2 linked regions of the Ovis aries genome follow. The protein of the gene in region 1 purifies or fractionates together with the protein of each later gene. This does not show direct contact. Links are inferred from orthologs where the notes say so. Each region holds a gene or a part of one and is shown on either strand. Other genes may lie near its edges.

Region 1 (3,649 bases):
TTTCTCCCATTCTGAAAGCTGTCTTTTCACCTTGTTTATAGTTTCCTTCATTGTACAAATCTTTTAAGTTTAATTAGGTCCCATTTGTTTATTTTTGCTTTTATTTCCATTACTCTGGGAGGTAGGTCATAGAAGATCCTGCTGTGATTTATGTCAGAGAGTGTTTTGCCTATGTTTTCCTCTAGGAGTTTTATAGTTTCTGGTCTTATGTTTAGATCTTTAATCCTTTCTGAGTTTATTTTTTTGTATGGTGTTAGAAATTGTTCTAGTTTCATTCTTTTACAAGTGGTTGACTTTTACAAGTTTTACAAGTTTACTTTTACAAGTTTTCCCACCACCACTTGTTAAAGAGATTGTCTTTTCTCCATTGTATATTCTTGCCTTTTTTGTCAAAGATAAGGTGTCCATAGGTGTGTGGATTTAGCTCTGGGCTTTCTATTTTGTTCCATTGATCTATATTTCTGTCTTTGTGCCAGTAGCATACTGTCTTGATGACTGTGGCTTTGTAGTAGAGCCTGAAGTCAGGCAGGTTGATTCCTCCAGTTCCATTCTTCTTTCTCAAGATTGCTTTGGCTATTTGAGGTTTTTGTATTTCCATACAAATTGTGAAATTATTCGTTCTAGTTCTTTATTTCCATACAAATTGTTAAATTATTTGTTCTAGTCCTGTGAAAAATACCATTGGTGGCTTGATAGAAATTATATTGAATCTATAGATTGCTTTGGGTAGTATACTCATTTTCACTATATTGATTCTTCCAATCCATGACCATGGTATATTTTTCCATCTGTTTGTGTCCTCTTTGATTTCTTTCATCAGTGTTTTATAGTTTTCTATATATAGGTCTTTTGTTTCTTTAGGTAGATATATTCCTAAGTATTTTATTCTTTTCATTGCAATGGTGAATGGAATTGTTTCCTTAATTTCTCTTTCTGTTTTCTCATTGTTAGTGTATAAGAATGCAAGGGATTTCTGTGTGTTAATTTTATATCCTACAACATTACTATATTCATTGATTAGCTCTAGTAATTTTCTGGTGGAGTCTTTAGGGTTTTCTGTGTAGAGGATCATGTCATCTGCAAACAGTGAGAGTTTTACTTCGTCTTTTCCAAACTGGATTCATTTTATTTCTTCTTCTGCTCTGATTGCTGTGGCCAAAACTTCCAAAACTATATTGAATAGTAGTGGTGAGAGTGGGCACCCTTTTCTTTTTCCTGACTTTAGGGGAAATGCTTTCAATTTCTCACCATTGAGGGTAATGTTTGCTGTGGGTTTGTCATATATAGCTTTTATTATGTTGAGGTATGTTCCTTCTATTCCTGCTTTCTGGAGAGTTTTTATCATAAATGGATGTTTAATTTTGTCAAAGGCTTTCTCTGCATCTATTGAGATAATCATATAGTTTTTATCTTTCAGTTTGTTATGTGGTGGTGTATTACATTGATTGATTTGCAGATATTGAAGAATCCTTGCATCCCTGGGATAAAGCCCACTTGGTCATGATGAATGATCTTTTTAATATGTTGTTGGATTCTGTTTGCTAGAATTTTGTTAAGGATTTTTGCATCTATGTTCATCAGTGATATTGACCTGTAGTTTTCTTTTTTTGTGGCATCTTTGTCAGATTTTGGTATTAGGGTGATGGTGGCCTCATAGAATGAGCTTGGAAGTTTACCTTCCTTTGCAATTTTCTGAAAGAGTTTGAGTAGGATAGGTGTTAGCTCTTCTCTAAATTTTTGGTAGAATTCAGCTGTAAAGCCATCTGGTCCTCATCCTGATATTAGATTCTATTATTTCCTTTTCCCTTGCATTCTGCTTATTTTGCTGTTTTTCTCCCCCCATTAACCTCTTTTAAGCCTGAATGATAGTTTTCCTCTTTCACTCCACAGATTGAAAAAAAACTTTTTTTTAAGTTTTCTTTTTTTCCCATGAAGGAAGTTCCAAAAAGCAAGCTTGAATTTGCCTACATGGGAAACCATTTACATAGCATTTACATTGTATTAGGTATTATAAGCAGGCTTCCAAGGTAGCATAGTGGTAAAAAGTCCACCTGTCAATGCAGGAGATGCAGGAGATGTGGGTTTGACCCTGGGTCAGGAAGATCCCTTGGAGGAGGGCATGGCAATCCACTCCAGTATTCTTGCCTGGAAAATCCATGGACAGAGGAACCTGTCAGACTACAGTCCACAGGGTTGCAAAGAGTCAGAAACGACTGAAGTGACTTAGCATGCATGCATGAGTGTGCGTGTGCATGCACACACATGCACACACACATATTATAAGCAATCTGGAAATGATTTAAAATATACAAGAGGGAATTCCCTGGGTTAACCACTCTGCAGTTCAACTGCATGGGGCATAGATTTGATCTCTGGTCAGGAAACTAAGATTTCACATGCTGTGCAGCATGGTAAATAAATAAATAAATAAAATAAATGTACAGAAGGATGTTCATAGAATATACTACATGATTTTAAATAAGGGACTTGAGCACCCCTAGATTTTGGTATCTGTGGGGGTCCTGGAACCAGCCTCTCACAGATACCTCACAGTTGTCTCAAGGGACAACTATACACTCTTGCTTCTTAGTACTTTTCACCTAGGCTAACTTTTTTGGCTTGTTATCTTCAGCTTTGTTGGGATTCTTAAATCTTGATAGTCAGGGTCTTAGGATCCCATAGAGAAGCTATCATATGACGAGAGGAATTAAGCTTGCATTTGCTTTTTTCTACAAGTATTGTCATATATGATGATCAGGTTGAGAATTTGGCTGGAGTTAAAACATCTTAGAGATGGAACATCATGGAGTCTGAGGAGAAGGTGTTAATGAGGAAGGGAGGACAGGTTCCTTACCTGGGGCATTGTTTCTCAAACTTAAGTGTTTCTAGGAATCATCTGGGCATCTTGTTAGAGTGCAAATTTTAATTCATCAGGTTTGGGAAGAAGCCTAACATCTGGGATTCTGCATTTCTAACCATCTCCCAGGGGAGGTTCACAGTGCTGGCCTGCAGACACACTTCAAGGAATAAGAACTATGGGGTTTCATGTTTCCAAACAGCCACCTCTGAACTGGAGCTCCCTGTATCGCTCCTCGTCATTGCCAGACATCTTGAACAGTCCAAGTCTGAAGCAGGTGGTAAAATTCAAGGACAGCACAATACCAGATAAAGTAAAAAAGAAATATTGTTCAAACCACAAAGAGCTCAGAAAGGTAAGACTTTTTTTTCTTTTTTTTTTGTCAGAAACTTTTTAAAAAGACAGTGTCTTTAATCTTTATCTCATCTTCTCCACCTTTCTGGGTTGGGGGGTTGCTTTGGCATAGCTTTTGGCCTTGTACTTTTACCTTTATCTCCTCTTTCCATTTTCCTTTTCTACATCTGCACCCATATATAGTATTTAATAATAAATATGTTATATTATAATTTTGGAAATGATATCATTGTATTGTCTTCCCAACCACCTTTTTTAAGATCTGAGAGAATACAAGGGAACTCTGATTGAGAAGGATATTTATTGCTGTTTTATAGGCATTTGGACAGAAATAACATCATAGAGCACACTGGTTTGCTGGAAAGCAAATTCTGAAAAACTTAGCCCTCATCCTGTATCTCTCTTTTAAAAAAGAAATCTCAATACGTTTGGCTATTT
Region 2 (3,649 bases), on another chromosome or scaffold:
GAGGCTGCCTCAGTTTGGCTGTGGCCCAGGGTATTGAGATTCTTTTTTCTTGTGACAGAAGGATGACTTTCTTGACTAGCCAACTGGGACATCATGGCTGAAAGCTGAGGCTTTACTGGTCAGGGAGCTGAAGTAGAGCTAGTGCCCTGGGTCACTCTGGCAACTTCCCTGTGAAGTCAGGTGTTCAGGGACTTACACTGAGGGATGATCTGGGTCCTGGGATAACATCTTTTTCTAAGTGCAAAATATGATGATTTTCCACGTACTCATCTGCTTCCTATCAGGTCTCCGAGTGAGTAGAACAGAACACTATGTACTTAGAGAAAAGGCTAATTTTGTTTGACTCTCGGTCCTTTTCTGCAGATGGAGTTTTGAGGTAAAGCCTCTCTCTTAGATGAAATGCCCTTTGGGAGACTTGGCCAGGGCTGTCAGGGATGTGGTAGATGGGGAGCACAGAAGAGTGGACACAGTTTTGCCCCTTGTTGCTGGAGGGACCTAGGCTGAAGGCTGGGCAGGACTGGGACTCGGCAGCAGGGAGACTAGAGCAGATATGGAGCCTGTAATCATTCCCACCTGTTCCAGGGCTCTGCCGTTATCATGAGGTCCTTGCAGGGGTAACCACCCTTTCTTTCTTCTTTTCCCCAACAAACTTCTCTAAATCCAAATGATTATAGAATTAGTCAAATGGTTTACCCACTCACTCCAGTATTTGTGCCTGGAGAACTCCATGGACAGAGGAGCCTGGTAGGCTACATTTCATGGGGTTGCATAGAGTCAGAGATGACTGAGTGACTAACTTGGCAAAAGCAGAGTTAAGGAAAGACATGGAGATTTATCTCTTTTCCTAATCCACTCCGTTGAGATTCTAAGCTATTTGTAGCGACTTTCTTGCAAGTCCTATAAATAACTTAGCATTTCCCAGCAGAGAATAAGGACTTCTGCAAAGGCAAATAATGTCCTGGCAAAAGAGGGTGAAACCAAACCTACTGGTTTTAAATAGTGTTTGCATCGTGTGGTACTGGCATGTTTGCTGGGATAACATACGTGTAATCTTTTATTTGGTTGGTTGTGTTCTTTCAGCATATAATCCCCAATGCCAAGTGTACCCCATCCTTGTCCCAGGGTCAAGCAAAGTTTTTGCAGTCTGTGGAACCGTCCGATGTCCAAGGCAGCTCAAGTACAGGGTTTGGGGGCTAAATGCAGACTTCCTTGTGCTAATGGTTTCCATTTAGTCTGTCTCTCGAGTCTACCACGTTTCCATCTCCATTCTGAAGAAAAGCAGGATTCTTTTAAAAAGATCACTAATTACTCTGCTAAAGGGACCCTTCTTGAATTAAATCCTCAGAGTGAGCTAATGACTGATCTCTTCCTCAGTTGCCTCTCTGTTGGAATTATGGGGAAGTCTAATGTGGTCCTCAGAGGCCCTGAATCATTTAATGTTCCAGCTCTACCTTTCAGGCAGCCATCTCCCGGGATCATCTTGCAGTTGCAAGACCTCACAGGGCTCAGCCGGGCTCCTGCTGCAGTTCTCTGTGCAGAGCTAAGCTAGCCTAAGTTTGGCCTTTGTCACTTGCATGATAAAAGACCAGCTTTGGTCTGGGGTGTTCAGGCTGGGATCTGGAGGCATTGGGTCTGTTTAGAACAAACTATAATTAACATAGGGCACAATATGGTCTTTCAGGAATTAGCTGTCTAAGAGGCAGGAGTGGGGCCGAGCCTCTGCTTCCAGTAACAATGCCCATTGGAGATGCTCAGGATGGTCTTTCAACAGAGGCACATTGATTGACTGATGCACTTCTTGCCTTGAAGCTTGGCGTGTTTTCAGGCACCGTGGAAGAGAGATAATCCCTGCCAATCCCACTTGGGGTTGGTAACTTGAAACAGAAGGAAGTCAAAGGGAGCAATCAGTCTGTTTTATTTCTAAAAGAGGTTCTACCTGAGATAGGAGAAGGGAGCCTCTTGTGCTTGTGTAGCTGGGCTACCTCCAGCTGGCCATCCTTTGGTCTTATCCTAGAGAGGTATGGCCCTCCCTTTAGTTCTCTTTTACCCCAGATTCGTCCAGGATGGGGCCTATAGGTTTGTAAGGCAGAGCCCTTTAGCTTCACATTGTCTGCTTTAAGGTTTATGCTGACATCCCTGTGTTTTGTCTTTTGCAGGTTGGGTGGCCCAGACCCCTTGGACTATGTTAGCATGTACAGGAATGTGGGGAGCCCCTCTGCCAACATCCCTGAGCACTGGCACTACATCAGCTTTGGCCTGAGCGATCTCTATGGTGACAACAGAGTCCATGAGTAAGTGTGTACTCTTGCCTTCTATCTCCCTCTTCCCTAGCCTTGAGCCTTATTTCTGAGTTTTGTTTTGCCAAAAGTGTTACTTTCATTTTAGGTTTGAGGGATTCATTAACAAAAGAACCACTCATTACATACAAATAAATGATTTCAACTTTTAATAGATTAACTTAATTTCAATATACAGTCACTAGAAGGAAAAGAAATAGAAACAATAGAGAGAAGTAACAGCGTGTACATCACCAAATTGAGCCGACACCTACATCCAGAGTTGAACAGTGCTGGGAAGTCCCGAATGATAGCAATCTGGAGTCCCAGTTGGGAAAGGGTACCGAGCAGTGCATCCACCCCACAGGTGAGACTTCATATTGCACTTCTGGGGGCTCCTGCTTATAATCCCAGGCCGTAAACTGATATCATCGTCAGTTTGGGTGCAAAAAGGCAGCTCTGATTTAATTTTTACAGTGGGGTTTGTTTCACCTTGTGAGTCACAAGACTTCTTAGACCCCAGGGGTCTGCTAGGCCTTTAGGGGCTTACGAGATCCAAGACCCACTCCCTTTCTTACCTAAAGTGCCGCCTGACTGACTGTGCCTGTCGCTTGGATCCTGGGCAGTGTCCATGCAGGTCAGAAGCAGGTCAGAGGTCTGCCCTCCTGCTTCCGAAGCCTGCACAAGACTTCCTCTATTTTGATTTCCCTAGCCAAGTTTTCCTGAGCAGAGAGGATCACGTCATCGTCCCTTGAGTTTGGCATTTCTCACGTGGAACATCTGGGTTTCTGCCCTCTGCCTGTAGCCACTTGTGCCGATGTGGTCCAGATCAGGACCTGAGCTGTACTCATCTGGTGCAGGAAAGTGTCGATGAGAGAGAATTCCAAAACTGTTAGGTTTCTCCAAGCTTGTTGTGATGTTTGAGCTCAGAGTACAGGCAGCATAGCTGTGACCCAAAAGCTGAGTTGATTCCTCTAGGTCTACTTCCTTTTCCCCCCTCTGCCGCTGCTAAATCACTTCAGTCGTGTCTGACTCTGTGCGACCCCATAGACGGCAGCCTACCAGGCTCCCTCGTCCCTGGGATTCTCCAGACAAGAACACTGGAGTGGGTTGCCATTTCCTTCTCCATTTGCCCCCTCTAGATTATTATAAAAATTTTAAAAGAAGCAAAGTTGAAAGAGTTTTACAGTGAACAATCAATCATATACCGCTCCCTGGATTTTACCATTAATATTTTATTCTACTTGCTGTATCATGAATATGTACATCTCTGTTTCTCTGTGGATGTTACCTACTTCCTTTTTACCTCTAGTTATCTGTGCTCAGATCAGCTGCAGTACATTTTTTATCCTAGTCTATCTTCCGTTTGCTGC

Evidence for each region. The genes of interacting proteins can lie anywhere in the genome.
Region 2: the proteins of CDC25C (region 1) and SUFU purify together in Homo sapiens (affinity purification with mass spectrometry; 4 studies listed by BioGRID and IntAct, counting the BioPlex papers as one, with this or other methods). This does not show direct contact. The link is inferred for Ovis aries from reciprocal best matches to the Homo sapiens genes CDC25C and SUFU.

Annotation. Positions count from the first base shown.
Region 1 is NC_056058.1:47,371,067-47,374,715, reverse strand, and holds part of CDC25C (M-phase inducer phosphatase 3), read left to right. Parts: intron 1-3,059; coding exon 3,060-3,212; intron 3,213-3,649. UniProt on the Homo sapiens protein: Functions as a dosage-dependent inducer in mitotic control. Tyrosine protein phosphatase required for progression of the cell cycle. When phosphorylated, highly effective in activating G2 cells into prophase.
Region 2 is NC_056075.1:22,883,239-22,886,887, forward strand, and holds part of SUFU (suppressor of fused homolog), read left to right. Parts: intron 1-2,156; coding exon 2,157-2,291; intron 2,292-3,649. UniProt on the Homo sapiens protein: Negative regulator in the hedgehog/smoothened signaling pathway. Down-regulates GLI1-mediated transactivation of target genes. Down-regulates GLI2-mediated transactivation of target genes. Part of a corepressor complex that acts on DNA-bound GLI1.